Saccharomyces cerevisiae S288C: one gene and its partner. Changing the gene in region 2 together with the main gene of any one other region gives a genetic interaction. Each region holds a gene or a part of one and is shown on either strand. Other genes may lie near its edges. The genes, in order: STB1 and ABZ2.

Evidence for each region.
Region 1: mutations in ABZ2 (region 2) and STB1 together harm fitness more than expected from each alone (negative genetic interaction), as found in Saccharomyces cerevisiae (2 studies listed by BioGRID).

Annotation. Positions count from the first base shown.
Region 1 is NC_001146.8:37,567-54,721, forward strand, and holds STB1 (Stb1p), read left to right. Parts: upstream 1-15,095; coding exon 15,096-16,358; downstream 16,359-17,155. Other genes in the region: YNL320W (uncharacterized protein), read left to right, coding at 134-988; HXT14 (Hxt14p), read right to left, coding at 1,141-2,763; cleavage polyadenylation factor subunit PFS2, read left to right, coding at 3,053-4,450; prephenate dehydratase PHA2, read right to left, coding at 4,505-5,509; ATP11 (Atp11p), read right to left, coding at 5,758-6,714; DAL82 (Dal82p), read left to right, coding at 6,881-7,648; tetratricopeptide repeat-containing protein EMW1, read right to left, coding at 7,742-10,456; RFA2 (Rfa2p), read left to right, coding at 10,721-10,727, 10,836-11,650; putative SCF ubiquitin ligase complex subunit SKP2, read right to left, coding at 11,831-14,122; ZIM17 (Zim17p), read right to left, coding at 14,341-14,865; and 1 more. UniProt on the Saccharomyces cerevisiae protein: Involved in the regulation and timing of MBF-dependent transcription in late G1 of the cell cycle.
Region 2 is NC_001145.3:835,240-852,555, reverse strand, and holds ABZ2 (aminodeoxychorismate lyase ABZ2), read right to left. Parts: upstream 3,872-17,316; coding exon 2,747-3,871; downstream 1-2,746. Other genes in the region: ATP-dependent RNA helicase HAS1, read left to right, coding at 965-2,482; U2 snRNP complex subunit HSH155, read right to left, coding at 4,070-6,985; DSS1 (exoribonuclease II), read left to right, coding at 7,211-10,120; mitochondrial 54S ribosomal protein uL30m MRPL33, read right to left, coding at 10,354-10,614; NGL2 (RNA exonuclease), read left to right, coding at 10,865-12,412; ATP-dependent DNA helicase YKU70, read right to left, coding at 12,561-14,369; RIT1 (tRNA A64-2'-O-ribosylphosphate transferase), read left to right, coding at 15,689-17,230. UniProt on the Saccharomyces cerevisiae protein: Converts 4-amino-4-deoxychorismate into 4-aminobenzoate (PABA) and pyruvate.

The DNA of each region.
Region 1 (17,155 bases), on a different chromosome or scaffold from region 2:
AATTGATCTACTCACAATTGGGTTGTTCTTATACTTAGAGAGGTGCGTTCCTCGAAATAACTCGAATCAAGCCCACACCTGCTCCCTTTTTTATTTCTCCGTCAATTGCACTGTAGAATCCTTTTCTGGTCTCATGTTGTGGAAAGTTTCTAAGATGTTCTTGGGTGGCTTGGTAGCGCTAACAACAATATCGGTTGCGACCCTTTATCACTACCAAAATCGCCTAGTCTACCCATCATGGGCTCAAGGCGCCAGGAATCATGTTGACACTCCTGATTCCCGTGGAATCCCTTATGAAAAGCTAACCCTAATTACACAAGACCACATTAAACTCGAGGCATGGGATATCAAGAATGAAAACTCAACAAGTACTGTGTTGATCTTATGTCCCAATGCCGGTAATATTGGATACTTTATACTAATAATTGACATTTTCTATCGTCAGTTTGGAATGAGTGTATTTATTTATTCGTATCGTGGTTATGGTAACTCAGAAGGTTCACCCAGCGAAAAGGGTTTGAAATTGGACGCTGATTGTGTCATATCGCATTTGTCAACGGATTCTTTCCATTCAAAGAGAAAACTAGTATTGTATGGTAGATCTCTAGGTGGTGCTAATGCTCTTTACATTGCTTCAAAATTTCGGGATCTATGCGATGGCGTTATACTGGAGAATACATTTTTGAGTATTCGAAAAGTTATCCCATATATTTTCCCCCTTTTGAAACGCTTTACGCTTTTATGTCACGAAATCTGGAATTCAGAAGGCCTTATGGGAAGCTGTAGTTCAGAGACGCCATTCTTGTTTTTAAGTGGATTAAAAGATGAAATCGTTCCACCCTTCCACATGAGGAAACTGTACGAAACATGTCCTAGTTCGAACAAAAAGATTTTCGAATTTCCACTTGGTTCACACAATGATACTATTATTCAAGATGGGTACTGGGATATAATAAGAGATTTTCTAATAGAGAAGGGTTTTATCTAAAAGTAATAATCAAAATATTTGATAGATTTATTTACTTTACTGTATGTAAAGAAAATGTGGTCAGTCCTCACGGCCACTTAGTTACTGATGGTTATTTATTATGGAAAAAAAAACTGCACTTTGCTACTTCTTCTATTTATATTATGTAATATCTACTCCGGTTCAAATATTTTATTGATCTCTTGCTCATTCTTTTTCCTCGTTTCAGGAACTAGTATCCAACTGAATATTATCAACGCTAATAGGCAAGCAGCAAATATGTATCCTAGTTTGAAATCAATTTTGGATACAATCATTGGTGTTAAAAGTGATATTAAGAAATTGAACATCCAATTGATAAATGTGCAAATAGCCATTGATATGGCCCTCGTTCTTAGAGGGAACAATTCGGACACTAGTACAAATGTAACTGGGCCCAATGTTATTGCAAACCAAAAAATAAAACAACAAGTCACGATAATTAAAACAATATTTGAGAAGTCCGTTTCTCTTCCAAATGTCCCCACAGTAGCATATGTCATCATATAAAATAATAAATTTGTTGAACCATATAATAAACATGTCTTGTGGCCCCATTTCTCCACGTAATATATGCCTAATATCGTAGAAAGGAAGTTAACACTTGACAGTATGATTGAAGTAATATAAGGATCCTTAATCCCGACACCTTTGAAAACAGACGTTCCGTAATAAAAGAAATAATTTATTCCGGACAGCTGTTGAAATGCCATTATCATCATACCAATAATCAGTCTCAACCATAACTTTGGCTTTCCCATAATAAATTCAAATGTGTTTCTTTTAACTAAGCTTTGCTTTTTTGATTCGTTGTTAGTTTCCTCATTATTATAGTTATTTTCCAGCAAATCATCGATGAATTCAATTACCATGCTATCCGTCGCAGGGATGCCATTCATCCTCGCAAAAGAGTATTTAGCAGAGGGCACATCATTTTTGATTTTTGCCAAGTACTGTGGAGATTCAGGAACGTAAACAAGTGACATTCCAATTATAATTGCCCAAATGTATCCCAAGAACAATGGCAATTGCCAGGCTATATTTTGTGTAGGATCTTTATAACATCTTTCGCATATGAAATTTAAAATGTTTCCCATTAGTATGCCAAATGTTACAATCAATTGATACGTAGATACCATGGAGCCTCTGATTTTTAGTGGAGAATTCTCGGAGAGAAACATTGGCACCAAGACAGTGGTTACTCCCACACCGATTCCCGTTACGGCTCTTCCCAATGTCAAAAAATACCACCTTCCATAGGAGAGAATTTGAATGGTTATACCGATGCAGTACACTACTAAGGCAAACCATATACCACCTTTCCTACCAATCCAATCACCGATTTTTGACAGAGTTAAAGCCCCTACGCCACAACTGATGTTAAAAATACTGATAATTAGGCCTATTTGCAGATCAGTAAGTTTCTTAGTAGATACAAAAATTGTTTCATCGTCATGGATAATATTAGTTGTGCCAAATTTTTCTTGAAAGCTAACCATATTTGTCATTCCACCGATGGTTCCAATGTCCCATCCAAAAATAAAGCCACCAAGCGAGATTACCAAGCACAATAAAACGGGAATATGCAGACTCGCATTGTGACTAATCTTTGCTGCTTGGCCTTCTATATTTTCTTCTTTATCATCTAGATACTTAATGGTTACATTATAATCCCTTCCCCTGCCTGCATCAAGCTCATTATTGTGAAAATGAGAGATGTATCCCGAGCTATGTTGATACGGAATCTGAGCAGTCATTTCTAGCAATAATTGAAGTACTTTACTTCCTAAGAATACGTTAACAAATTCTTTGTTAGTATTTCTAATTAAAAGTGGTTAATTGTTCTGTTAAACAGTATTCAATGTTGCTATTTGAATTTGTGTCATCATTAGAATTACTGACATTTTTATTTTCTATTTTTTTTTCTATTTTTTTTCCTCTTCTTTTGAGGGCCGACGTATCGATTTGTCAAGGGAAGTATAATTAAAGAAAGCACTGATATACAGGTTGCTGGGTAGATATTAAGAAGCTCAACATAGACACGTTATGGACGGGCATAATCAGAACCAGTACCAGAATCAGAATCAAATTCAGCAGTCACAACAACCACCTCTGAAGAAATATGTGACACAGAGACGATCGGTAGACGTGAGTTCTCCGTATATTAACCTATATTACAACAGACGACATGGATTACCGAACCTAGTGGTAGAGCCAGAAACTTCATACACAATAGATATAATGCCGCCTAATGCCTACAGAGGTCGAGATCGAGTCATAAATTTGCCCAGCAAATTTACGCATTTAAGCTCGAATAAAGTGAAACATGTGATACCCGCCATCCAATGGACCCCAGAAGGCAGAAGACTTGTAGTAGCAACTTATAGCGGAGAATTTTCTCTATGGAACGCATCTTCGTTTACGTTTGAAACCCTCATGCAAGCACATGATTCGGCTGTGACTACAATGAAATATTCTCACGACAGTGATTGGATGATTAGTGGGGACGCAGATGGAATGATTAAGATATGGCAACCAAACTTTAGTATGGTTAAAGAAATTGATGCTGCACACACGGAAAGTATTAGGGATATGGCATTCAGTAGTAACGACTCGAAATTTGTTACCTGTTCAGATGATAATATCTTGAAGATTTGGAACTTCAGCAATGGCAAACAAGAAAGAGTATTATCGGGGCACCACTGGGACGTGAAAAGTTGTGATTGGCATCCCGAGATGGGGTTAATTGCCTCCGCATCTAAGGACAATTTAGTAAAACTGTGGGATCCGCGTTCCGGAAACTGCATATCATCAATTCTGAAGTTCAAACATACTGTCTTGAAGACGCGATTTCAACCCACCAAGGGAAATCTATTAATGGCGATTTCAAAAGATAAATCGTGTCGTGTGTTCGACATTAGATACAGTATGAAGGAACTAATGTGTGTAAGAGATGAAACGGATTATATGACACTAGAATGGCACCCAATAAATGAATCTATGTTCACTCTGGCGTGCTATGACGGCTCGCTAAAGCATTTTGATCTTTTACAAAATCTAAACGAACCTATTTTGACTATTCCATACGCCCATGATAAGTGTATCACCTCGTTATCATATAATCCAGTAGGACATATATTTGCCACAGCAGCTAAGGATAGAACCATAAGATTTTGGACTAGAGCGAGGCCAATTGATCCTAATGCATATGATGATCCAACTTATAACAATAAGAAGATAAATGGATGGTTTTTTGGCATCAATAACGACATCAATGCTGTGAGAGAGAAGAGTGAATTCGGTGCGGCCCCGCCACCACCAGCTACACTTGAACCACATGCGTTACCAAACATGAATGGATTCATCAACAAGAAACCGCGTCAAGAAATCCCAGGCATCGATTCAAACATCAAGAGTTCCACATTGCCAGGTTTAAGCATATAAAAGTGCGCTTTGACGAGATTTTAGGATACATAAATAAAAAGACTATATAACATATTATTTGTGATAATATCTCTCATTTCTGGGGAATGTACCCCACAGGCACCACTGTTTACTTTTGTCGCTGATATCTTCATAGAATTTTTCTTTATTCTTTGGGGTATTCTTCTCGGTGTAATATTCAATGAAAAATAAATATCGCCAGTTTCTATCATGTTCGTCCAAATGGAATGGTCTAGAGTTTATAGAACACATGTTGAGTGAATGGATTTTTAGTATGTTCAAAACATCTACCAAAGAACCAGGGTCATCTTGACGAGTAGTAAAGGTGAGTAGGTTAACCCGTAGTAATCCAGTGTCTTCTACTTCATTGTCGCCTGCGTTCTCCCTTCTCTTCAATACTAAAAATCTTGTTGTATTTCCTAGCTTATCATTTATCGAATGTTCAATGATGTACGCCTTATGCAATTGGGCAGCTGTTTCACTAGCAATGGCTAAATGCAGAATGTTGTCGCAATCGGCCGTTGATGACCGAATGCATTGGTTCACTGATTCAGATGTGGAAGAACAATCCAATCTTATAAAGGTGACCTGCGGAAATTTTTCTGCCATGGACCTTAAGTAACATTCAACCTGGCCCCATACTTGCGGATGTGAGTGTATTATGACTTCTTCAAAATTTCCAAGGGATGCAATACCATTTGGTAGTTGGATTGGGCTGATTAGACAATGGGTAATGGGTACATATTGCTCCGCTATAACTTCTATATCTGGTGTAATTCTATTAGTATCTGCTGGAGCAGGTAAGGATAGGGCTTTTTTGATCATCCTATCACGCAAGAGATCATAGGAAAAAACTACTTGTCCATTGGTGGAATTTTCCAACGGTACCACTGAATAATCTATACTAGTGTCGTTCTCCAATTGGTTAAAACATTGGGGGATAGAGGCTGCTGGGAGGTACTCAACATCAGATGTTGATTGAAATTGTTGTAATGCAGCTTGATGGGAATACGTACCTTTGGGACCCAGAAAAAGAACCCTCAAAGTCTTGCTGGCCATAATTGAAGGATGAATGCGGAAATATAATGAAGTTGCTTTTCGTACTTTTTTAGCCTGTTCTTTCTGCGTATTATATTCATCTACTAAAATTTTTATTTTCATTTTTCATTATGAAAATACAAGAGTCATGCTGATAACTGTGTAAAGAAACTGTACGCTTGTCGCAGATGATGTAGTACGTATTTTATTTACAGGTGTCATTAATATATATATATATATATATATACGTATACGGAAGTAATTCTTCGTTAATTTTCCATGGACTGTGATAGCGAAATCAATTTCTCGACGGTGAATCCCGGAGAGGCCTTAGAGAAATCTCTTAACAACTGCACTCTCTGTTTAGCAACTGGAGTTTCTTCACCCATTGCACCATAAAACCTTTGCACGTTTAGCAATAACAGCTGTGCATCCTGTACATTCACGTTTGTATCCGGTTCAACATGGCCATTCATAAAAACAATTCCCTTATCCTTGACCAAATCAGAATGGAACTGCAAGGTAGTATGTGGCCTTGCAAATTCCTGGTGTAGTTTGTATTCTGCTAGGGAAGTCATCATACAATGTGTTGTTTGGGGTCCGACAAACTGCCATTGGATGTAGTGTAGTTCCATTCCCTGTTCTTCGTTCGGTTTTGCATCCTCAGATTGAACTTGTCTAGGAAGTGGCAACACGAATATAGGGTTATTCCTGGCATTTGCCATCATCTTATCATAAACGGAGACAGGAATCACAGCGCATAATGTATTATCTTTTTGTGCCCATCTTGCTCTCCAAAGAAACTCTACTTCCTGTTTCGATAAGTCCTTCAGTTTTCCAACATCCAAAAAAGAGTCCAATGTTTTGAAGGGAACTTTAGGAGCACTTGGATCGAGAGGACTTCTTGATTTCGTCATCAAATGCTTGGAGTTGTTATTTTCCATTTGAGTTTTTTGTTGGTAATCCTCTAGTTCTTTCAGGGGGTCGATTTTATTAAATTCCCGCTTCTTAGACTCTATAGTCTCTTTCAAATGATTTTTCAACTCTTCTATGCTGTTAAAACCTTGTTTTTGAGCCTCTTCCAAAAGTTTCTTTCTATACTTCTGCTCTGGGCTGGAAGAATAAAAACGAAAAACAGGAACTGTTCCAATTGCCTTGTTAAAAATGGGCGACAGCTGATTAGAAATATGGATTCTAGTGCCGATTTTTCTGGTTAGTCTCCACATAGTTATTCTTAAATCTCTTTTGTTCTCTATTTTCAAGTCTTGATAAGTTCTTCACATCCTTCGATTACGGCGTCAAAATAAGCGTTATTTCCATTCGGGTGAGTTGAACCATTGATAACAACATGGTTTAACGATACTTTGAAAGGTTTAGGCGGAGCCAACCATAATGGATGAATCGGTGGATCCTGTGGAGCTGCTTCTACGACTACTGATACGGCACAAACCTCATCTGAAACCATATGCCTACAGACAAGATAGCTGGCAAAGGGTGCTCGATGAGTACAACAGACAGACTGGGTCAAGATATAGACAATCAAGGACGTTAAAAACCAAATTTCGTCGACTGAAGGACCTCTTCAGCGCAGATCGAGCCCAATTCTCTCCTTCCCAGTTGAAGCTGATGGGAGCACTCTTGGACGAAGCACCAGAACATCCAAGACCAAGAACTAAATTCGGAAATGAATCATCTTCATCCTTATCATCATCTTCTTTCATTAAAAGTCATCCGGGGCCTGATCCGTTTCAACAATTATCATCCGCTGAACATCCGAATAACCACAGCTCCGACGATGAGCATTCAGGCTCACAACCGCTGCCCCTGGATTCAATAACGATTGGAATTCCGCCTACTCTTCACACAATCCCCATGATTCTGTCTAAGGATAACGACGTCGGGAAAGTCATCAAAAGCCCTAAGATAAACAAGGGTACAAATAGGTTCAGCGAGACAGTACTGCCTCCACAAATGGCTGCTGAGCAATCGTGGTCGGACTCTAATATGGAATTGGAAATATGTCTAGATTATCTTCACAACGAACTCGAGGTGATAAAGAAAAGGCAAGAAGATTTTGAGTGTAAAGTTTTAAACAAGCTCAACATAATTGAGGCTCTCCTTTCACAGATGAGACCACCCAGCCAAGGAGATAAAATATAAAAACTTCTATTAGATATGCTTGATTCATGTCCATATGTATCTATTTATACAAACATTACGTAATATACACAGATTATACATGAAAGGTGCTCTTCATATTTGGCTTCTTGCTTCCACTAGCCTATCCCAACCAGGAGAGTCATCCCATCTGCCTTTGCCTTTACTCATTAGAGCTTTGATAGTAGATCTACATTTGTATTTCCAGTCTTTGCAAACCAGACTGCCTGGCCCATATTTACCTTCCATTTCACCAAGTGATTCATAGGCAGCCACCAAATCTTCACAAGCATCCACTGTATCATTCCAAACCTTTTCTTCAACTTCTAAATCAGGATTGTGAGAAATGGCCCTATAAGCCTTCTCGTGGCATTCTAGGGCGGCCCATGGTCTCTTCCTCCAAAGTTCTACTCTTGCGACCAGTCGCCAACATCTTGCACTGGTTGTAATTACCTGAGGTAAAGTGTTACAGATAAACTCAGTACAGCTCTTTTGAAAATAAGATAATTGCTGCGGCTCCTCTGGATATTCACTAGTCACTAATAGTTCTACTAGTTTTTCAATAATTGGTAAGTCGATGGAACCTTCGCCAGATTTGTCCCTCCTAATACTGACTAATTGTTTACATGCAGTTAAGACATCCTCCCACTCATTCAACTTAACAGCAACAAGCATGTAATTCTCCCAAATTTTCCAGTTCTTTTGAGCGTCACATGAAATGGCTCTTTTCAAACAACTATAAGCTTCTTTCAATTTATCCATTTTCGTATATGCAGCGCTCAAATTTGACCATGAAAGAGCATGATAAGGGTCTAATGAAACACATCTGGTAAATGCCTCCGCAGCTATCTGCATTTTACCACATTGTAATCCAACGCAACCATAAAAATACCACGTTTCAAAGCTTAATGGGTATTGCCTTAACGAGTCATTTAAATGTTTCAAGGTAGCAGAGTAATTTGGTTGTGCTCCAGACTTTGGAGGAGGATTAAAGTAATACTTTGCAAGGGAATTTTTTGCGTTGACGTATTTTCCAATCTCCCAACTTTTTTCCCATAGGGATGGATCCTGTTTTATATCACCCAAAATGGAGTAAGCCCTGGCATCCGAATCATTTTCATTTATTCTTTGAAGAAGGATTTCTTCTGCCTTTTTTTCATCTCCAACAGCGGCATAACATAATGCAGTCTCGCATGCCATACCAAGTCTTTCATAAATTTCCACAGCGGACTTCAAAATACCCAGCGACATATATTTTTCAGCTAAGGTGGCATCCAATTGCCACCTAGGGATGAACGGCAGCTGGTGGATGTATGACAGCCTGCTAGCAACATTGATTTCGCTTGAACTTGGAACCAATTTACTCTTAATCTTCAAATCCAATTCTTCTACGAGGGATTGCATTTGTAAAAGTCCTCTTTCAATAGTTTTAGCCTTTGTTGTCTCAATAATTGACCTTTCCCATAATGATCGGGCGAAAATAGACCAATTTTTGTCACCGTTTTGATATAATATTCTAGAAAGCAAAGCAGTAAGTTCTTCTTCCACAAGAGGATCCTTGGCCGGAGTTGTGTTCTTTATGGTGTAAAGACGTAACAGCAACTGGATGTTGTCGTAATCAGATAGGGTAGGTTGATCGTTAGGGTTCAAATCCAGCAACAACTTTGGAATATTTTCTTGACGTAGTGCCAATGGCAATAGTTTATCTTCTTCATAACCTTCATTTAGGTCTACCTTTTGTCTTTTACTATAAATTTGCTCGTCTAGAGGTTCATCAGCAATGGACTCAAAATGAGGCTTCTCCAATAATAGATCGGACTCTAAAGCAAATGTTTCTGGTGTAGCAGATGTCGTTCTCAAAGCAAAATTTTGAAATGTGAAGGATTTGGCAAGAATGATCAAACCGGCATGAGCCTTTTGCTGATATTTAGTTCTAGTAGCGCGTGCACCCGTCATTACAAATTCAAAATTTGTTATCTTTTTCGCTCTGGTCAAGGATGGCAGGCACAAATGTTCTGTGTTGATGGCCAATGAACATTTGACATTCTCTAGATAGTACATTGCACAAAGTTCTCTTTTGAAATCTTCGTGAATACTCTCCGGTAATTCCTTAGTTATCGCATATGCAAGGTCAGCAGACTGATATATTGCAGATGCAACACTAGCTTGGAACCCAGAAGGTTCTGGAATCAGTGACAATTGCGTCAAAAGAGCTCTTGCCCACCACCAATAAGCTACAGCTAATAATCCAGGAGTAGACTCAGCAGAGATAATAGGTAGCGGAATTTCTTGATCCGGGGTAACATCAAATAAGCTTTTTTGGCCGGTTATCCTTTCAAGTAATAATAGTGATAAAACCAAATACAATGGATCATCCATAAATTCGTAGGCAGGCTGGCCCATAATGGCTAATGAGCGGGAAAGGGCTGTATTAACTGCTCCTATTTCAATTCCAGTTTTGCCAAACAAACCTGAGATTGCTTTCAACCTAGCTGCTGGGCCGGTGTAGTTATTTTGAATAAAGGTCTGTAAGAGGGCAATAGCCAAAAATAGCATCTCATTTTCTTGGCCCATTTTGAAAACCTCAACGTTAAGAAAGTCATTTAGAGCAGCAATAACACTAGATGTGGATATTTCTCCCGAAATACTAATTTTTCCCTTAAATTTGTCCACAAATTGCTGTACTAGCTGGTATGATTCACCACTGATGATATGTTCAGCCTTTTTCACATATGTCTGGTCGAAAGAACCACTTTTCAGAGATTCTACTTCTGCAGACAGCAATAATTTTGCATGCAATAACGTCTCCATAATTTTGCAACCACTAGTTTACTTTTTGCCTGGTCTGATAGCTTCTTTTTAGCAATTCCTTTGGCCTCGATGAGCTTCCATTTTCAATTTTCATCTTTTTTTTCACGATGCGAAGTTTCTTAGATAATTATCGCCATATACGAAACGCGTTAGGAAACGCGTTCTTTCCTTTATAATAAGCAATATTATATCAACTTAAGGTGGAAGTAATGTGGCAAAATCGATAGCGACTATCTAGAACAGGCTAGTTTAAGCATATACATAATGGCAAGTATGTATTAGTGCTAGGAATTGGAGGATTTGCTCTTTTCTGCATCATTTTTTTTATTTTTATTGGCGAATGTTAAAATTACTAACAATGGATGGGATTCCAATACAGCCTATCAACCATATAACGAATATTCATCAGTAACGGGCGGTGGCTTTGAGAACTCTGAGTCCCGCCCAGGTAGTGGGGAGTCGGAAACTAACACTAGAGTTAACACCTTGACACCTGTGACGATCAAACAAATTCTAGAGTCCAAACAGGATATTCAGGACGGCCCCTTCGTTTCGCATAACCAAGAACTTCATCACGTTTGTTTTGTAGGTGTGGTGAGAAACATTACAGACCATACTGCAAATATTTTTTTAACTATTGAGGATGGAACTGGTCAAATAGAAGTGAGAAAATGGAGCGAAGATGCAAATGACTTGGCTGCCGGTAACGATGACTCTTCTGGTAAAGGTTATGGTTCGCAAGTCGCCCAACAATTTGAAATTGGCGGTTACGTAAAAGTTTTTGGTGCTTTGAAAGAGTTTGGTGGTAAGAAAAATATACAGTATGCGGTGATTAAGCCCATAGATTCATTCAATGAAGTGTTGACGCATCACTTGGAAGTCATCAAATGTCATTCCATAGCCAGTGGAATGATGAAACAACCTTTGGAGAGTGCATCCAACAACAATGGGCAATCATTATTTGTCAAGGATGATAACGATACATCTTCCGGCTCCAGTCCGTTACAAAGAATTCTAGAATTTTGTAAGAAGCAATGTGAGGGCAAAGACGCTAATTCATTCGCTGTTCCCATTCCATTGATCTCGCAATCCTTGAATTTGGATGAAACTACCGTCAGAAACTGCTGTACGACCTTGACTGACCAGGGTTTTATCTACCCAACTTTTGATGACAATAACTTCTTTGCCCTATGAAAATATATAGATTATTTTTTTAGCATTTCTTAGTATTCGTTTGTGTATTTCTACTAGGTAAGTACCAAAATTTGCCGGAAATAGAGTGGAAAATGGAACCCGTTCCAAGAAGGGGTAAGATGCATGAATATTAAGTTGGTTGCATAAATATGCTATATAAAGTCCACTACAAAAAGTCATTTATTTTTGCCCGTAAGAATAAAGAACGAATCCGTCCTTATCTCTGACTTCAATGGGAACATTTACACGCAGTACGGGCTTCAATAATAGTTCCCAGTCGTATCTGGTTCTAGGTGTACATAATGAAAAATGTCTCAGCATTCTTATTTTGACAGCTTTGAATTTTGACAAATTTCTCAGGAAACACCAGAGGTTAATATTTGGAATATCTTTAAAATTCTCTGGATCTTGGAAATCATTGAAAAAATTTTCCAATGTCACATTTTGTAAGAACTCCTCCACATCTAAATCTCTATATTCGATGGTTCGGTTCTTCAATTTGATTAAACTATCTCTTAGGCAACGCCTTACAGAGTTGTTCCAATAGTAAGTGTGGTGAATGTCTGATTCAGGGCTCATTACTGTACTTAAATTTGGAACTGCATTAGCATTTGGTATGTTATCTCTTATGGAATTATTTTCGTAACCGATTAATGTTTCTTGATCGTTCTCGTCGCCAACATCCTCATCTGTCTCATCAACACTAGTAATTGTTCTTGCTAGATGTTCCCAAAACGATAGAGGGGATAAAGGATACACATTGGTAAAGGGGATATTGATTACGTTAATAGAAATATTTTTACTTGGAAGTCTCTCCCAAAGTAAGCGGTAATAATGGTAGAAAGAATGAAATTCAGGGATTCTTTGTCGTTGAAAATTTTGTAGCTGTGCCGCAGTTAACATGGCGGGCTTTTTGTTATTGTCTGGTGATGGGTTATTTGAAACATCATTTCCTGTAGTTCTAGAAATATAGTTCAGATTTAAGGACAATACAACTGAAGATGTCGGCGGAGGAGTAATTATCTTCGAATCTGATGGCGCTTCAAATAATGTTTCTGTCATGGAATTGCAGTCATCAAAATCATCTTCTGTATCCAAACTTCGCTGTTGGAAATAATATGATTCGCCGACTACCTGTTCGTTAGTGAAACATTTGCTATTACAATCAATTGTTAGATTGGATAACGATGGGAAACAACTGCATAACAATAAGTCGAATTTACTGTTAATCTTCAGTAAGGATAGATGTTTGACCATTTTAAAGTAAGAGTGAAACAAACGTAATATTCCATTTCCAGGAACTACATCACATGAATCTAAAGTAAGTGCAGTGATAGGAGACTGTAAACTGTACAGTTCATTATCTTCGTTCTTTAGAAATAGTGGTAAGAATTCCATTGGAGTATCTAGCGATTCGGTGTCTATCGTTACATTTTCTAGTTTAAGTTCATTAATTATGCCGAAACAGCAGAATAAACTCGGTCTTAGTACGAGCTTTTGGTGATGGCGTTGACGATTAAAGGTTCTTTGTCTTTTATTATTAGCTTTGATTTCCAGTATTTTCAACCTTGGCAGAGAATAATACTTGGATTCGTATTCTTTGACAAATTTTTTGGATAGTTGGAAAGTCCTCAAATCTTCGTTTGTGATGGATTGCTGGCCCTTGATTATTTTCTTGAAAAAATCTCTAGATCCATCGTTGAATACAGAGTACCATAAAGGAATTTTAAAATTCGGTTCCACATCACTCAGAATCACTCTGGTCAGGTTCGGTAGATAGTCTATAATATCAAGCATTAGCTCAATATAAGTATAATGGAAGTAGTTGCTTTCCAATTTATCAAGCAGTTTGATTCGTTCTGAAGTTATGATGGGAGTCTCATCGTTTAGTCTGATGTTATTCAGTTTTTTTACGTCTTTATCATACGAATCGAGTTTATAAGATCCAGCAATAATAGAATCTTGGCCACTCTTATTATAGAACTTACTGTATTTTAACAACGAGTCTTGGGACTGAGGATTTTTGAATTCGATGGATCTTACGAGGAACCTTGCATTTTGTGATCTAGATTGTGTGCTACAATCACCGCTGTGTGTGACAATGTTCGACGTGTGGAACTCGGAGTGTATCAAAGCATTGAACTTTAACAACGAAAGTTTTGAGTCCAAAATAACGTTTTGGAAAAGGAACTCATTCGTAATCAAATTGTAGAACCTCGAATTGACTTGGCATAGTGTTACTAATGTATTGAAGTCCAAAGTTCGCAGTATTAACAGTAGAACTTTTGTTGGCAAACACATGAGGGACGATTTATCGTTGAAGCGTAGTGATCTCGATTTGATATCATGGCTCGTACTATGTAGAAGGCTTTTGGCATCAGCACAGCCCTCTTCCTCTTCTTCTTCCTCCTTCGCAGCACTGGAGACCAGCGAGAAATATTTTGATCTACCAAACAATTGCAACCGTTTCATGATTCGGTTGGTTTGAACGTTTGAAAATGCGGTTCAACTTTTCATATCTAGCAGTGGCTCATCTTTATGTACTCTAGTCCTAAATCTTCTGCTGGTTATCGCAAAAAAATATGTGATGTGCGGGTTTTTGGCAGTAATCATGACTCAGTCTCTGGAAAAACGTGCTATTTAACGGTTATATATCTATCTATGTACATGCCTGTGCATGAGCTCTTCATTCATTTCTGGGAAGGGTGAGGGAGCTGGGATGCATTTTCTGAGTTGTTCTTGGCATATTTTCCCAGGACGTCCTTTAGCGAATCTGGGATGTCTTCAAACTCCAAGTCGCCCACGTCTTGGCTAACTTGTTCTCCGTTAGCTTTCATTAACTGTTCCACGGTAACATGATGATCATGGAATATTTTCAGATGGTCTGCTATCAAATGTCTCACTTTGCAGTGCGGACAAGAGATCAAGACAGTACCTTTCTCGTACGCCTGCTTGGACATTGTGTGTGAAGATCGGGTGTTACATTTCTTGCAGGTGAAAGCTATCATCATCTTAGGCTTGTCTACCTTAAAAGACCCCAAATGAACCTTCTTATCGTCCTTTTTCACTTCATTATGTGCGATGATATTGGTATGCAACGCTGCTGCGGGTAGAGTACGGCACACGTTGTAGCGTACGCGAGGCGCCCAACATCTGGCAAAGTACCTGGTAATTGGTATTTTACTTTGCAGTAGTGTTCTAGTCCTCGGAATCATGTTCAGTCTCTTGATATTCCAGTTGCACCGGTGCTGCTTTAGTATCGCTGATCCCTTGAAGCCAACATGACGCTCTTTCACCTTTCCTCTCATAATTTTGATATCACGCGAAAATGCAAGAAAAAAAAATTACAATTATGAAGTGCAGAAGGAACCAAAAATATCATCGAAAGAAGGAGTACGTAGAGCGTTACTATTTTCAATCAGTGTTCCCATTGTGCATACAAGAAATGTCTCAACCCCAGATGTCCCCTGAAAAAGAGCAAGAATTGGCCTCCAAGATTTTGCATAGAGCTGAGTTGGCTCAGATGACGCGTCAATTAAAGCTTGGTTTAAGTAATGTCCCATCAACAAAACGAAAACAGGACTCTACAACAAAGAAAAGAAGCGGAGAGGATGCCGAAGATGTTGATGAGGACCACAAAACTCTTTTGGAAGCCATATCGCCTGCGAAAAAGCCTCTCCACGATGATACAAATAAAATGACTGTTATATCGCCCGTAAAATTTGTAGAGAAGCCAAATACTCCCCCAAGTTCACGCCAACGAAAAGCCGAAGACCGCTCACAGCAGATCAAGCCTAGGAAGGAGGACACTCCATCTACTCCGAGGGCTTCTGCTACACCTATAATCTTACCACACGCTTCGTCACACTACCAGCGCCCCCATGATAAGAATTTCATGACGCCAAAACGTAATAATAACAACAGCAGTAACCATAGCAATAACAATAATAATATCAAGAAGAAGGCAGCAGGCTCTAAGGATGCTCCACAGGACAGCGACAACACTGCGGGCGCTGATCTCTTAATGTATTTAGCCACAAGTCCATATAATAAGTCATCACATCATGGAACACCGATGGCCGTAAGGATGCCCACTACTCCACGCTCTTATCATTACGCGTCGCAATTGAGTTTGAACGGTAATACAGCAAGCACATCAAACGATGCAGTAAGATTCTCTCATATCAAACCTTCAGCGTCTTCTCCGCAGTCCACTTTCAAATCTAATCTGTTACCGAATTTTCCGGACGAATCTCTCATGGATTCTCCATCACTATACTTGAGCAATAATAACGGTAGTGTCCAGGCGACACTATCGCCACAGCAGAGAAGAAAGCCCACCACAAACACATTGCATCCACCTAGTAACGTACCTACCACGCCTTCAAGAGAATTGAACGGTACCAATTTTAACTTACTCAGGACGCCCAACTTCAACATGGGAGACTATCTGCATAATCTTTTCAGCCCTTCACCAAGGGTCCCCGCCCAGCAGGGAGCGTCAAACACGTCAGCTTCAATTCCTTCTGTTCCAGCGATGGTGCCCGGATCATCTTCCAACACTTCTGCGATAGCAACAGCTGCTATATCAAGCCACACCACAAACAATTTTCTAGATATGAACGCAAACGGGATCCCGCTCATTGTAGGACCCGGCACCGACCGTATAGGCGAAGGGGAGTCCATTGATGACAAACTCACTGATTGATCGTTGACGGCCATATCAGTTGATGATTCCATACTTCCTGAAATGGACCACTCAAAGGGACAAAAATGACAAATGTTGAAATTATAAAATTACATATTAATACGTAAAATGACATTCTTTTTTAGGGAAATTCGGAGATAGATTATCACTATGTAAGCTTATGTATCGTAATATACAGGGCCGATATTTCACCTAGTTTACTTTTTCTGGTGGCCTTTATGTTTATGACTGTGCCCCCTCTTGTGTTTGCTTTTAGAGGCTTTCTCTACAGGTATCAGTATGGTGTCCTCATCCTTCTCCCCTGCCTCTGCTTCGACTGGAGCTAACCCATTTTCGTTCTTAAAAGTTTTCTTCCTCCACTCTCTTAATCTTCTTGCCTTCATCACTTTCCTTTTATCCTTCGCTCTTAGTTCCTTGGAACGATAAGGTGCAAATTTCTTCAAACCAATAAATTCATTTAAATCAGTATCATCGGCGGCGAAAATCTCTCTTGCGGTCAAACCGAAACTCTCAGGAGAAACTTCACGGTAACGAAACTTCAAATCTTGCTCCTCTTTTGTACGGCTTCTACTCTTTCTTTCTTCTTCTTCTTTTTCAACCTCCTCTATTAGTGCTAGTTTGTTTTGTTCCAAAGCATTTTCCACTAATTCATTTACCTTTCTCTTTTCTTTCTTCTTTTGCAGTTTCTCTTCTTTCTTGCTCTTCTTTCTTTTTGGACCTTCTTCCTCGTCTTCTTCTTTTTGTTCTTTTTCCACTTCACCTTCTTCTGTTTGGTCATCACCATCGGCGTCTGCATA
Region 2 (17,316 bases):
AGTCGTGGTAGGTAACTGAAGGAGCAAACAAGAAATTAATAAATAAACAAGTTAGCAAAACAAATAAAAAAACTGTCACTCTAAATAGAAAGAAGTAAAGAAGCAGAAGAAGTCATCCCCGTTCGACACGTTTTCATATTCTGAGTACATGATAAACCCCGCCCTCTTTTTCTTTTTTTAGGAATCCCCCTTTCTATTGTCAGAACAAGAAAGCGGTGTTGGAATTCAAGCAGCTTTTTTTTTTTCTTTTCGTCATACAGTTTCTTTTTCAGGAGTCTTGGTAGCACCCCACCCGTGGAATCGGCGGAATAACCTAACACGTGGAGGTTTTTCCGAGGTGCCAAAAAAGGAAAAACAAAGAGAAGCTGAAATCGGAATTTGAAGAATAGCGTGGGGGGGAGGGGGTTATTCAAGGAGCGCCTGTACCGGCAACGATAGCTTCGGCGGCTAAGATGGCAAACCTAATAGATGTATGTAAAAACATGGATGATAGCAGGCGGTGAACAGCCATGGTAATTTTAGGGAGTGCAAAAGTTATATGTAAGGCTATATCTGTATCAGTTAACAGGGGTGGAAAATGATTTGATAGGCGCAATATGTTTATTGGTAAAAGAGCATCTTAAACCACTTCATTCCATTTCTCACTATCACAAGTGATATATTATGTGTATTTTGCAATCCATGACGCTTTAATGCTTTACAAAGCGCTGCTACTTCTATTTTCTTAACGTAAAGAGGAGTGTATGACGACTAAGAATTGTTTACCCGGCGAGAGTCGATTCTTCGTTACCCGAATTGAAAATTTTTTATTTGCTTTTTCTTTTTTTTTTTTTTTTTTTTTTCAATATTAGCTTTAGCGATGAGATGAGATTTTATAGTGTATACACGGTACTTGAGTACATAGCTATTGGATAACTGTATACTATAATAATTAGATAAGCTGAGCAATATTAACAGGAGAAGTATGGCTACCCCGTCAAATAAACGTTCTAGAGATTCTGAATCTACAGAAGAACCTGTAGTAGATGAAAAGAGCACTTCAAAACAAAACAATGCCGCACCTGAGGGAGAACAAACTACTTGTGTGGAAAAGTTCGAAGAACTAAAGTTATCACAGCCAACTTTAAAGGCCATTGAAAAGATGGGATTTACCACTATGACTTCTGTTCAGGCAAGGACTATCCCACCTCTTTTGGCCGGTAGGGATGTTCTTGGTGCTGCCAAGACAGGTTCTGGTAAAACTCTAGCGTTTCTCATCCCTGCTATTGAACTATTGCATTCTTTGAAATTCAAACCAAGAAATGGTACCGGTATAATTGTCATTACGCCTACAAGAGAGTTGGCTTTACAGATTTTTGGAGTGGCAAGAGAGTTAATGGAATTCCATTCACAGACATTTGGTATTGTCATTGGTGGTGCAAATAGAAGACAGGAAGCCGAAAAATTGATGAAAGGTGTTAACATGTTGATTGCTACCCCTGGAAGATTATTGGATCACTTACAAAATACAAAAGGATTTGTATTCAAGAACTTGAAGGCTTTGATTATCGATGAAGCGGACAGAATCTTAGAAATTGGGTTTGAAGATGAAATGAGGCAGATAATTAAGATCTTGCCAAACGAAGATAGGCAATCCATGTTATTTTCAGCTACACAAACGACCAAAGTTGAGGATTTGGCTAGAATCTCGCTGAGACCGGGCCCTCTTTTCATTAATGTCGTTCCTGAAACCGACAACTCCACCGCAGATGGATTAGAACAAGGCTATGTGGTATGTGACAGTGATAAGAGATTTTTGTTGTTATTTTCTTTCTTGAAAAGAAATCAAAAAAAGAAAATTATTGTATTTTTATCATCTTGTAACTCTGTGAAATATTACGCTGAATTATTGAACTATATTGATTTGCCAGTCCTCGAATTACACGGTAAGCAAAAACAACAAAAGAGAACAAATACATTTTTCGAATTCTGTAATGCGGAAAGAGGTATCTTGATTTGTACAGATGTCGCAGCTAGAGGGCTAGATATCCCTGCTGTGGACTGGATCATTCAATTCGACCCTCCTGATGATCCAAGAGATTATATTCATAGAGTCGGAAGAACCGCAAGAGGCACTAAAGGTAAGGGTAAATCTTTAATGTTTTTAACACCTAATGAATTAGGGTTTTTAAGATATCTAAAGGCTTCCAAGGTCCCATTAAATGAGTACGAATTCCCGGAAAACAAAATTGCAAACGTTCAATCACAATTAGAAAAATTAATTAAATCCAACTATTATCTACATCAAACAGCCAAGGATGGTTATAGATCTTATTTACAAGCGTACGCTTCCCACTCTTTGAAAACTGTCTATCAAATCGATAAGCTGGATTTAGCCAAAGTAGCAAAGTCTTACGGTTTTCCAGTCCCTCCAAAGGTTAACATTACAATTGGTGCCAGTGGAAAAACGCCAAATACCAAAAGACGTAAAACTCATAAGTAATTTCAGAGGATCAATTTTTAATGCTATTAATGTGTACGTGGAACCAACACAACCGAAGTATTCATCTTCTGTTCTCATCGCACTCCTTTTCCTTTCTCTGCTTCTCCACTGTATGTCATTTAAATAAATGTATAAACCGCTGTTTTCTGTTTGTTGTCTTCTACGTACGTTGTCTGTATCAACCTGCACATATTTGAGTATGTAAAATCATGATTTGTAAACTATTGTAAAAAAACTTCATTGATATGAAAATCTGTCGTCTGCTCAATATTTTGTCTTCACTGTTCCCTTTATGCATCCCATGACGCCATTGAAAAGCAAAACTTCGTTGCCAACGGTAAGGCTTCCTATATCTATATCTCCCTCTTCAATAAGGCCGAGCCGCAATAAATAATGACGCATTGTTCCGCACAAACATCCAGTTGCTAATCTTGGTGTCACATACTTTTTAGAACCGTTAGGATCTTTTTGAATTACAGCCACGTTTGTTATTGAACCTTCCATCAGCAGGCCAGATTTGTTGGAAAATAAAATTTCGCATTGCGAGACAGAAGAAGTAGGTTCTGAACCTCTTAAGTTATTTATAGCAGTTTGCATGCGAACTCTCGCCCTAGCGTAATGATCTCTTGAAGTGGTTTTAAAACTGGTGAAAGCTGATGCGTTCAATGGTTCAGATGAAACAACAACATCCCAATTTATTGTGCTATCAATTAAAAATCCATTGAGCATCGTTTTGATGAAGTATGTGGAAACACTGTCATAATCGGTTGTTAATTTTAGGATAGGCTCCATAGGCATTGGAATTGCCTCAATTCGTATATCTCCTGTCTTAGAGACAAGTACCCGCATTTTATAGCATTGCCTTTCGTTGATCATTTTTTGAATTTTTTCGTGATACTCTGAATTTCCTTCTTTACAATTAATCAAGTTTTCAACCAATAACTTCAATAAATCATTCAGAGACGTGCTGAAGTCAATTTTAAAGTATGATAATGCTATTCTTATTCTTTGGTATTGTTCATCTAATAAAAAAAATCGTTCATAAATGACTTGTAGCATATCTTCTACACGCTGGCACACAATGGTCTTGCAATCATGCTTCCAAGCATCAGGATGCTGAATATTTTCGAGAAGGTCACCGCCGGAATTAACCTCCCTTACTCGTAAATAACTTGAGTAATCCTCATTAATTATCTGCTGCCTAATATCTTCGTCTCTCAAACCTAATCGAGGGTCTGGAGTTTCAAAGATCTCTTTCTTTGACGCTGACTGGCGTGCAAAACCAGGGTCGTACCTGAAAGTGGCCAGAACCTCGAAGTTCGGATTAGCAACTAGGCCTCCTTCATCGTAACTTTCCATATCAGTCTTCCAATTGTCCATTAGTGACATCTATTTCTTATTATCCATGTCTCGCTCTTCATCTTTCTTTTACTCACTTTCACAAAATTTTTTCCTGCCCTTTTTTTTCCAATAGCAGGTTCTGTTTATATTTCATCATAATCTATGAAGGCATCGTGACGTGATGATATAGGTGTGTCAAGTAAAATATTCTTACAAGTTGTGGTTATTTATATGCTCTATATATATTCACAGAACTAAATCCAGTTCTTCTATATATTCTTCATTGTTGTCTGGTGTAACGGGGTAAAAAGGTACCATGGCGTCCTGGTACATTACGTACATGTTATTATACACCCTCCAAAATGCTTTCCTTACATTCTTCGCTGGATGGAACAATCCTGCCCATATGTAGTTCATGAATAGTCCAGGGCCAAGAGCTTGACTCAGTGCCTCCAAACCTTCTAAAATACGCATAATAGCATGTGGTGAAGTTTCAAAAATATTGGGTATTAGAAGATTCATTAAATGAATGAAGGCATCTTCGTGACCTGTACCTGAACAGTTTAAAGCTAAGTGGGTTATTACGTTCGACGCTGTCTGACGATGAACTAAATCCCTATCGGTGAGTGCATCTTCTAATAATGGTGTTATGAAGTATATGTAATCCTTAGACATGTTACCAATGTACTCAAACATGAATGACATGGCCTTGAGAACACCGTTTTGAACATTAGTCTCTGGTGTTGTGTATTCATTCATGATTACTGGCAGCACGTTGTAAGGACCACACACTTTAGCAACGATACCGATAGCAACAGCCGTGCATACACGTAACTGACGTTCTTGAACCTTTAAATTGTTCAATAACGCAACAAGAACATCGTGAGGTCCAATTGCTTCAGCAATGAATCCAAACGTGGCATTTGCTGATCTTCTTATTTCTTTATTTGTACTTTTCAAAAGTTCTAATAGTTCAAAACATATTCTCATCCATTCTTTAGGAGGTGCATAGGTAGGTGCTAATTTACCAATAAGTCCAACAAATTTGATAGTGTTTACTTCGACTTTTCTATGCTTGTTTCTTAAAATTGGAGTTAAGGTTGGTAAAATTTGATTAATAGGAGGTTGTAGTTTATCCAAATCCATTACGCTAGTAATACAGTACATAGCGTTGATTATAGAACCTAATACCTCTGGATATACTTCGCCTAAGGATTCATACAATATAATGTTCAATTTATTCAACATTTCGAATTCGTGACAGTTCTTGATGACTGGTATTAGTATGGCACATAGATCTGCTGCATGTTGACGAACCAAGGGAGTTTTATGCTTTAAATGATTTAAAATCGTACTCACAATGGGTGCTAAAAACGGTTTCATACGGATGTCAAGTGACACCGTCACTGCCCCAAACCCTTTAAAGATTATAGAATCACTATTTGTTTGTTCTTGAAATGCTATCAAGAGCGCATCAATAAGCCTCGTTTCTAATCTCTCATCTAAATCTGCTGTCCCTAATAAGTTTACTGTTCTAGTAACAGCATGGACAGCCATTGTTCTGAACGGCTCAGCTTCATCTCTCAATGGTGTTAATAATTTATCAATGGTATAAGAACAACCTAATTTCTTTGCTAATGTAACAGTAGTATATGTAACAACTTTGTTTAATGGTCTATCCAATGCCACTCGTCTGACCCAAAATTTTTGAAAGAATTCTGGCGCGATTTCTTCTCTCAGAAATTTTGGCGTTATGGATTCTACAGCGCTACATTTTTGTAATACTAAAAGAATGGTCTTTTTCATTTCATCATCGGGAGAGTCGAATTCACGTCTAATTATTCTCATTGCTTCTGTGGTATAATAACCGGCATACTCTGGGTCCATCAATGGGATCATAGATCCAACAGCTTTTAAAAAAGAAGATAGCACTTTACCACGATGACTTCTTATACCCTTCCATAATGGCTCCAGTACAACGTTGAAAACTTCGATACCATATGGATAAGAATTTTCTGCTAGTGTTGATAAAGTATGTGCTGTAACAATTCGCACCGGAACGTGATCATCCATTAGGCAGTCTTTGATACAACTCATCAGCCCAGTAAGATGATTCAAGACACCTATTCCCAAAAGTATACCTATTTGCTGCACAATTTTTATGCCAGTATGCCTTGCTTTCCAAGACTTCCGTGAGTGGCATGCTGCATTGATGAAAGGAAGCAATTGATTAACACCAAGGGCTTTTGCCACCACAGCCGCCGCTCTTGAAGTTACATTTCTAACATACTCATCCTCATTCTCAATATCAGGTCTCATTACTGTTAGAATGGTTTTTAGGCCAGCGACTGTAGACAGATTGGTGATTATCTCCTGGCCTGTTGAACGAACCATTGGATCTTCATCTATTAGCAATGGGGCAGCTACTACAAGTATTTTGTGAACGTAAGGTTTTGTTAAATCTCCTAGCTGGTAAAGGACGCGATCTATGGTCTTGATCATTAGATGTCTTTCCTGGTCTTCCAAACTTCTGTCTAGTAATATGGGCAATAAGCGGTTAAATATCATTTCTGGACCAAATGTAACAGCTTTATCGGTTAAAATCCGCATAGAAGTCCTCCTACTCGCTGTATTGCCATTTTTTATTTTCAGAAGTAACATCGACAGGGTTCTTTCTTTCTTTTCATCCTTATTTAACTCATCTATGGGTTTTTTGGATATAACGTCGGCGAAATATTTATGGTCAGAAGGTTTAAAAAACATCAAATCATGGATTCCTTCTACATTAACCAAAGCACTATCAGAGTTTTCTTTGACCGCTGTTGAAGATTCATCAGGTGGCTCGTACCCTTTTACATCCCAACGAGATTTTCTTTTCCTTGGCACGACAGCGTCTTGGGTATTTTCTGAAGACGTAACAGTTTGTGTATCGGAATCCGGCTCAAACTTCATATCAAACCTTCTTTTGTGGTATGAATCCTCTCGATTTTGCACTGTCCTAGTTTCCATTTTTTCCTGTAGCACATCTTTTTCGTTCTCACCAATACGTGCAGCTTCTTTCTGCAGGTTTTCCCTCAAATCCTGAGGAATAGAATATTGACCGCCTAATTGGTGGCTCTTATCGCTATTATTAGCGTTTACAAATTGAATCGGATGACTCATGATGACAGGTCCTGGCTTTCTATGTTTATTATGTATAAGTAATTGAAGAGATGTTTCAGTTCTAACTCATCGAGAAGGAGATTTCTGCTCGGGCAAATATCAATGCAAACCCGAATAAGCTTAAATACTAACAACGTGCCAAATAACAGCAATCACGTCTAAAAAGCTTTCAAGAGACGATAATTGGTTGTGCATATCTGTCAGCGGAATAAATAAAGACAGGTGATGGTAGTTAGGCGGAAAGTACATGTTCTTCTAATTGCAAGGAGCTTTCATTCCTACACACCTTGCTTCAGAGTAACTACCAGAGGCAAACGACAGCGAAGTAAGAGTAAGCAGCAAGCAAAAGTAGAACTAGATCACACACGAGAGCTAGATAATGATCAAGCTACAGAGACAGTTGTAGACCGTTCGGTTGGACCGGAGAAAGATATAGAATCAATAAACAAAGACTTTCTGCAACGAACAAAAGGATTAGAGCCTGATATTGAATTAAAACAACTGCCTCAAATTAAACAGGAATTTAACCAACGTTATAAAGATAGGTATGTTAAACCTTCCGAAGATTGGTACGTAAACTCCTGGAGGTCTTTAACAAAACCAAAAATTCCGCTTTACAAGTTAATAAATTCAGATTTTCAATTAATAACAAAACTGAAAGCTCCAAACCCAATGGAATTTCAACCTGTTCAGCTAATGGAAAGTCCCTTAAATGTTGGTGACTTTGTTCTTTTAAAAATGAGACCCAATGAATTGGCGATGTGTGTAAGTCTTCCAAGTAGCACTATGGATCCTCGATACACTTTTGTTACTATTGATGGAACTATGTGCTTTGCGACCAAAAACCGGGTGTTATTGAGGATTCCTCACAAATTACCTGCTGGAATCCATTCACTTATACAGCCTGAGAGCCATCACAAACATTTGCCAATTGGAACCGTTAAGAACTTTTCTAACCAAACGAATATTTTGCCTATTGTAGCAAGGCAGCTAATAACAAGTAGGTATCCAGCCCAAATTTCAAAGTTGGCCTGGAAAGATTTGCCCATTACTACCAAAAAATTACAGTTACTCCACAGATCATTACAAAATTATATGGGTCCATGGCAGATTCCTTTTTTTACCCTAGTCGGATTAGTTCAGAAATTGGATTTAAATAAAGCCTTGGACGATAAAAATGGAATAAATTACTTAACTAGTTTAGTTAATAACTATCACACTGTAAACGATATACCAATAAATTCACCTACCTTTGTTTCCACGTACTGGGCGATTATGCAACAACAGGAATCGAACCTTTGGGGGGAAATCCATCTGAATACAGCGTTGCTGTCGCCTATATCAGTAACGATTATTCCCTTAAAATCACAACATTTATATTATGCGCAGGTGATAGAGAAGCTAGAAGCCAACAGTTATAGAGAGGTCAATAAGTTTGTAAAATTGGTGAATGAAAGGAAATATCGCGATATATCAGCTTTATATCCTTCTGTGATCCAATTATTGAAAGATTTTGCTGCTGGGAATTTTCACAATAACGGAATTATAGTAGCTTTGATCTCAAAAATATTCAGAAAGATAGAACGCTATAAGGATTGTGACATCACAAGAGATATATGTCAAGATTTAATCAATGAGATAACACCCAACTCAATACCCAATCCATTGTTACTTAACATGGATTTAGCATTACCTGCTTCCTCGAAGTTAGTGAAATGGCAACAAAAACTCTACGACTTAACTAATATAGAAGAATTGCAATGGAAAAAATCCGGCACTGATGACGATAGGTACGATTTTGGCGATCTTAGGGTTTTTTGTATAGACTCTGAAACTGCGCATGAGATTGATGACGGCGTGTCGGTGAAAAACTATGGTAGAGATGGACTGTACACTTTATATATTCATATTGCGGATCCAACTTCTATGTTTCCGGAAAGCACTAATGTTGATATTGAGGGTATAAGTACAGATATCCTAAATGTTGCCTTGAAAAGATCATTTACCACATATTTACCAGATACGGTTGTTCCTATGTTACCTCAATCTATTTGTCACTTATCAGATTTGGGGAAACAAGGACAAAGGACGAAAACTATATCCTTCTCTGTTGATGTTAAAATCACTTCTAAATGCAGTGGAAAATCAATTGAAATTATGTATGACAGTTTTAAAATCCGGAAAGGCATTGTGTCCAACTTCCCAAAGGCCACTTATGAAGATGTTGACAGGATACTCGGTACACCCAATAGCGAAGCATCACCTGTCAAAAAGGATTTGGAAAGTTTGTCCATGATTTCCAAATTATTGAGAGAACAACGTATAAAAAACAGTAATGCTGTTATTTTCGGGGAGGGCTTTAATAAGGGCCTAGTGATGCTAAACGCCGATTCAGAAGGAGAACTGACTGAGGTAACATTTTCGGATCAAGAGGAGACGCTGTCTACCATTTTGGTTTCAGAAATGATGATCTTGGCGAATACTTTAACGGGTAGATATTTTGCGGAGAACAAAATCGGTGGTGTGTTCAGATGTTATAAACAGTTACCACTGGGCGAAGTAGCACAACAACAGTATGATTCTATGATAACAAGTACAAAAAAAGGAATTTTTCCCAAGCTAAAAGATATCGTTAAGCTTTCTTCATTGTTGAACTCGAGTTTTTATACAGGTCGACCTTTTAGACATGAAATGATTGGAGCTAAACAATATTTGACAGTAACATCCCCTCTTCGTCGTTTTCCAGACTTGATAAATCATCTACAAATTCACCGTCATTTGCAGAAAAAGCCTCTATGTTTTAATCAAACACAAATCGACAGTTTGATCTGGCCAATTCAATCTCGAGCGGATATTTTAAAAAGGGCTAGCCGTAATTCGTCGACGTACTGGACACTGAATTATTTAAAAAAGCTAACCAAACTAGAGCCAGAAAGGACTTTCGATGTAATGGTAACATCAGTACCGCAGAACGGATTTACTGGATGTGTTTTTCCAGACTTATCGTTCGCTAGAGGAACATTAAAATTGCATCCAAGTTCTATGCATTATCCGATGATTGGAGATATCGTGAAGAATTGTAAAATTTCAAAAATTGACTGTTTAGAAGGAATGTTAGAGTTGGAAAAGCTATAAAAAGGGACTCTTTTTCCAAATATAAAATTCAATAGACCATGCATAATTTTCTTCTTGTAAATATATACATACATAAAATATGAAATCGAGATAGTGTATTGATTTCTTTGTATCAAAAATTGCATAAATTACTATTAACATATGTGCCTATGCAGGAAAAAATAATACTATATACATATATAAGTCAGGAATATCAAGAAGAAAGGAAATCCAGTTGCCTTATTTTCGCTGTTTCAGTCGATGGTTCTCTTCTCCACTATAAACCCAGGGTTTGACTTTCTCAACTCTCGTTGCTGCGATGGTGTTAATTCATGTTCTGTTACTTCTACTTTGACTAACTCTTTTACTTTAGCTAGGGAGCCAGCTATGGCCGGGTTTACTTTTTTGTAGACTATGGACCCTCTTTTACCTAAACCCAAACTTTTGACAATGCTCTTCGTTGTGTGTGGCACACCGATAAGCGACCTACTCAACGTGACTTTGTAAAACACCATTCCTGATATCTGCTTTCAACGTGTTTTAGCTGGTCCATCAATATTGATTCCATCACCTAACTTTTGGGATGATATACTTTATCCTTAATATCTAGAAAAGCTCTTCGAGAGATATTTCGTGCAGAAAGACCATTCATTTTTCAAAAAATGGTTGCACTAAAGCAAGAGGAAAGGAAAAGTAGTGTTGCAAGAAGATGAGATTGTAGTCTCCTTATAGCTTCTTAATTGTAGTTAAGAGTATTAAGTAAATATGACACAAGACAAAGAAGTCAAAGTGGTTGCCCCAGATGTTGCGCCCGACCAAGAAGTAGAAATTAATAAATCTGTAAAAGATGCAAAACATCAAACCAATGATGATTCGTTACTTCAACATAAAAAGAAGGGCAAGAAAGGTAAAAAATCGAAGCCCATAGTGACCCCAGAACATATCGCTAAGGTTCGTGCCGAAAGGGAAGTTATGAGAAAGGCTAAAAGAGATGCAATGTTGGCTCAAGGTGTTGATCCGGACTGCCCGCCAGAGCTGCATTTTATCAGAAGACCTTTCCTATCTCTACATGAGGCAGAGCCAGTAACTGGATTTAGATTCAAGCTAATGACTTATAATTGCTTGGCGCAAGCTCTAATCCGCAGAAAGCTGTTCCCGGATAGTGGTGACGCTTTAAAATGGTACAGGCGTTCTAAAGTTCTCTTAAACGAGTTTAAATATTATAATTCCGATGTCATTTGTTTGCAAGAGATTGATCATATTCAGTTTCAAAGCTTTTGGAAAGATGAATTCAGTAAATTGGGATACGATGGACAATATTATAGAAATGCTACAAAAAACCATGGTGTCGCGATAATGTGGAGGAGAGAATTATTTCACCAGGTTGACAAAATGCTAATCGACTATGATAAAGAAAGTTCAGAAAGCATTTCCACTAGAACAACGACAAACAACGTGGGATTAGTCTTAGCCTTGAAGTTTTCTGAGAAAGTACTGTCGAATTTGGGTAAAAAATCGTCTAAAAAATGCGGTATCTTGATCGGCACTACGCATCTATTTTGGCATCCATTTGGTACTTATGAACGAACAAGACAATGCTATATTGTTTTAAAAAAGATGAAGGAATTCATGCATCGTGTGAATGTTTTACAGAACGAAAATGATGGGGATTTATCTCATTGGTTTCCTTTTTTCTGTGGTGATTTTAATTCCCAGCCGTTCGACACACCATATTTATCTATGACATCCAAACCAGTGCACTATAGAAACAGGGCAAAGACCGTCATTGGGTGCAGCACTTCATATAAGTTTTCCAAGGTCCGTGATGGCGAAGAAGGTGCAGATGACGAAGAAGGCGGGAATATTGAAAAATATGGTAAAGATCAACCTGAGAGCCCCGTTCCTGAAAAATTTCATGCTAATGAAGAACAGTCTGAACTCGTAGATAAAATGGCACAACTCCATAACTCATTGGATATGAGGGCTATTTCACTATACTCTGTTGGGTATAAGAATGTTCATCCAGAAAATGCAGGTCTTGATAATGATAGAGGTGAGCCTGAAATTTCAAATTGGGCAAACACTTGGCGTGGTTTATTAGACTATCTATTTTATGTAAAGAAATGGGACCCACAAAGTAATTGTCAGGAAGTGGAAACCCTTGGCGATTTTGAAAAAGAAAATAAAGTTAAATGCAGAGGTTTTTTGAGAATGCCGCCCGGTAATGAAATGACAAAGCATGGACAACCACATGTTGGAGAATATGCAAGTGATCATTTGTCTATGGTGTGTGATTTAGAGTTACAACTATAGATTACTGTCGTGCATAAATATCTTGCTAATAGTTGTACAGTACAACGTTTAGCACGACAAAAGTTCTTAATAATAAATATTACATCAAATACCCTACCCTACCAAATATTGTATGTAACGTTATAGATATGAAGGATTTCAATCGTCTTTATATATTGAATTTCGGCTTTTTATCAAAGGGCTTCTTTTCTTCTTTTATCGAAATGTTATCATCGTTAAATTTTTTGTAGAACATATTCCAGATTTTAACATATTTATTTAGCCTTTGGATGATTGGATCTTCTGACTTCTCAGATTCTAAAATTTTATTTCGTATATAATATAGTTTCCTTAAAGAATCGTCCTCACGCATCATTCTGTCTTTTTTAGTATTAGGTGTCTCATTTTCGTCAAAAGTGGTTTCAATTTGCAACAGGTAATCATGTAAAACTTTGTAATGTTTTTGTAATAGTGGGTTTTTGAAATCGGATGGGTTATATCCATCCCTCAAGTTAAAGTATCCCATTATACTTTGAGTTACTTTTTTCATGTTATCATAATCTAGTTTATGTTCAGAGCCATCATCATAGGATAGTAAACTAGGAAATTTTCGAATTTCGTCTAGGAATGGAACCCTGTAGAGATAAAATCCTTCGTTGTAGTCCTTCACGCTTGAGGGTGATAACGTATATAGTGAAGGATGTGAATTTGATTTAAGCTTCCCCCATAATATTGCAATTTTATCTTTTTTTCTCAAAATTTTTAATAAAGAAGCCAAGGTTCTTATCGAACCTTCATATTTTGCTTCATCTGGTACGATAAACGAACTTTTGTCTATGTTATTGAAATAGTGTATCGATTTGCTCGATGAACGGAACCCAATAATCTTCAAAAACGCATCTTTTTGAGTATAAGCCTCCATTACTATCTGATCTTGACTATCTGATAGATTGATATCGAGGTCACCATAAGGATAAACCTTGACAGTTTTACCAGTAACGTCTTCTCCTGTTATAGGATTTAAAAATTTTCTTTTTGAATATGCTTCTTGTCTGATATCTTCATGCTCATAAACAAGTTTATACCTGACTCCAGCTTTTTCATGGGTATACATAGTGTAACCCTTGACTCCGACTATAAAATTTGTTTTCTCATCCAAGATTAATGGACATTGAAACATTATCCTCTTTACCTCCTTTTTCCTTAGGATTCTGGACTTGATGTATTTAGCATCTATAGGCTTTGTACTTGGACCATCAAATTCAGAATCCAAACCAGTATTCTCATTTGTATGTGAACCCAACTGCAGTATGTCCGAATAAAACTCGTTGTCAAATGGTTTATCGGCATAGCCAATAAAAAAAGTTGCAAAATTCACTTTGTTATCAAATAAATCAATTGTAAGCCTTCTCAATCTTGCCCGTTCATCGATATCTTGCGCCTCTTGTGGTTTATCAATGTCAGTGAATAAGAACACTCTCTTGTTGCTTAATTGCTTTTGACCCGGAATCTCTTCCAAAAAAGTGTCAAGCATGAATGTGAATAATACAGATAAGCGCACTTGCTTTTCACTCCCAGTTTGTTGAAACATAAAATAGTCGTATAGGCTTATTCTCCCCGATGATAAATCTTCTAAAAGATCGTTCAATTTCTTCATAAATGTAGCATTTATATCCCTTAATGGAAAAAGTTCATAGATACCTTCCTTGGCATCCTCTCTGTTACAGTAATAAAAATAGCAACCAATAGCTGTCCCAGGTCTTGTTATGACCAATTGTGACATTAGCTCATCTAGTGATTCCAGAATTTCCAACAATGGTGATTTATACTCTAGATCAGAGGACTCTTTAAACATTGTCTCTGATAGTTCAATGCAAAACAAAATTCCTTCATGGATATCAAACTTCCTATAACCTGTTTCATCCACTTGATCGTTAAGTTCTCCACTATTGCCAAATGCATTAGTGACTGAGCGCATAATATTCCCGTTTTAAAATCAGGCTTAGAGTCACTTAACAAATCATAGCTTTACTGTTGAAAACTAGAACAGTAATACAGAGAATGTCATTTGGTAGCTACCTTAAAGCAATCCCTAATACATGAAATTGAGAATCTTCAAAAATTAAGGTAATCAAAAGTAAAAAAATATCTCCCGGGGGCGAGTCGAACGCCCGATCTCAAGATTTCGTAGTGGTAAATTACAGTCTTGCGCCTTAAACCAACTTGGCTACCGAGAGTCAATTAACTGATAACCATTCAATTATGAGTCCGTCTAATATCATGCTTATTCACAATTTTAATATAAGCAACCTTGCAGAAGTGACCTGTTGTCAAAACGGAATATCAACTTGATTGAGGGGATGATAATTATCCTATATATTCTATAAATATGGATTATACTGAATATTGGGTGAATAATTTGATAATTGTTGGGATTGCATTGTTGATCAAGGCTATATAATATTATGTACACAGAATATATTAGAAGTTCTCCTCGAGGATAGAAATCTCAAAATGGAATCTATATTTCTACATAATAAAATTACGATTATTCCTCATTCCGTTTATATGTTTCATTATCCTATTACATTATCAATCCTTGCACTTCAGCTTCCATTATACTTGATAACTATTTCTCAATCCTTATTTTATGTTTTTCCACCGCATATTATAATATGCCAGTAATATTTATTCTTATTAATGGTCGTTAATTTCACACCAGGCGTGTTTATAACTGAGTAATCACTTTAAATTTGAGCATCCGGTTTTGCACCGTTAATAGTATCATTGTTAATTAGTAGGCAGGTTGTAGTATATTCTAAGAATAAAACAGGTGCCCTTAATCTGTACAAGAGAAGAGTATGAAATATGAATTACATTGGGCATATCGACTATACGCAATATATCAGTAGCTTCGACGATTTAGGTAGGTATAAGGGTTTCCTATACCTGTATACACAAATTTCAAACTTATGGCCGAGCCAGATAGTCCTTTAGCTATGCCTTCCATTACTTCTTGGAAAGCTTGTTGCATTTCCCGTCATATTATGTACGGTTACAACTTTTTTGTTGATTTCCATGCCCGAAGGGAGCTTAGCATAGCCGCTATTACATAATCTTATCATCTTCATCAAAAATGAACTTCTAAAATCATCCCACCACTCTATTGCTCTTCATATATGCGTTGTATGTTTATGTGCTTTGTTCTTATTACTGCTTAACTGTGACTGGGCCCATTATTCATTGTTCATATGCAGGAAAAAAAAAGCATGCTTGAAAATTTTGATCTCTTGATGGATGGTATCGAGGCTATCAAAGAGATATAGATCCAGAGTACAGTTTAGTATATCCGTGATGGATGAAAATATTTATCTTTCGCTATCTCAGATAAATAAAGACATCAGAAAGGAAAACAAGTCCGTAAGGAATCGACTTCAGAGTATTCTTTTAGACAATAAATTTTTGCAAGATCGAGTTATCCCTATATTTCCCCATTATCCACTGATACCCAATGAAAGATGTGGGCTATGGTACTGTAATCCATCAAGTTTCAAACAGACCAGTTACTTTAAGAGCACAGACGGGCATGTCAACCAATGGGACTTTAGCACCCGAAGATTGAACTTTCATTTGTTAGAGACCATTCGAGATAATAAAGGTATTATAATTGTCGATAGTACTAGAAGAGGTAAAAAAATCCCAGATGCTTTGAGTAAGACTGTCCCCATATGGTGTGCTGTATTAAATACGTTAATGCTTCAGGAAACAGAAAAAAATGTTGCCATCGATAAGGTACTGTATCTTCCACCTGAGACAGTTCCCAAATCAGAATATGACATGATTAAGCGAAAAATACCCGAACTAGTTGCTAAACTACAAAAATTGAATATTATAGATTCTAAGAAATTGAACGAACTGTTTATGGGTAAGTTATTGCGGCCCATATGGGTTCACCCTGGTTCTTCACTTCTAGACCATTCTGTTGATTACTTCACGGGTGAAGTACAGGAGTATGAAGCCTGGGAAACACCTGAAGACCAAAACATAATACCCATTATTTTGTGCACGGTAAGCTATCAAGCACAAGATGGTATGGATAAAAGATACGGCTTCACTTATGTGCAGGGTGCAGCCGACGATCACGAGCTCTGGTCTTTTGGTTTGGATTCAAATATGTTTTGGGCCCATATAGAATACCTAGGCGACGCAAGTTATTCAGACGACCAGTTACATGATTACATCATGGATTTGGCTGCTGCAAAGCTGAGAAATCAGTGTTATATACAAGATAAAGGAAGCTTGGATGAAGTCTTTGGAAACATTGATAAAATTACGAATGAGATATCTCTAGGAAAAGTGAGTTCAGGCTTAACCATCAATAAGAATTTGAAACAGAAATTGAAGTCAGAATATGGTAAAGTTATAATTTTCAGTAATTCGGTGACTGTTGCTGAAGATACAGACGATGAAGAAGAAAGTGGGACAGATCCGTTTATTTCAATATACAAGTTGCAAAGCGGAGACAAGAAAAGTTCAAAAGCTTTACGATCCACATTCCCTAGAATCCATGGAGAAATTCAATCGTTGTTTACAAATCGAGATGAAAAAATAAAGCCAATGCTAATATGCTGCAATACAGGTACTGATATGTCAATCGGTGTCATCTTAAGTATCCTTTGTACCAAATATACTGAAGAATGGATGCTTACGTCGGAGTTACCGGACATCAGTAAGCTTATTGTAAGAAAACACTTGACAAAATTGATTTCCCACTTGAAAGGACGCAACGTTAACCCTTCAAGAGCAACACTGAACAGCGTCAATAGCTTTTTAATGTAGTGAGTTAGGCAATACTGAGATGTTTACTCGCAATGTCACTGTATATTTTAATATCAAATAACGTCAGTTTTTATTAGAAAAAGAGC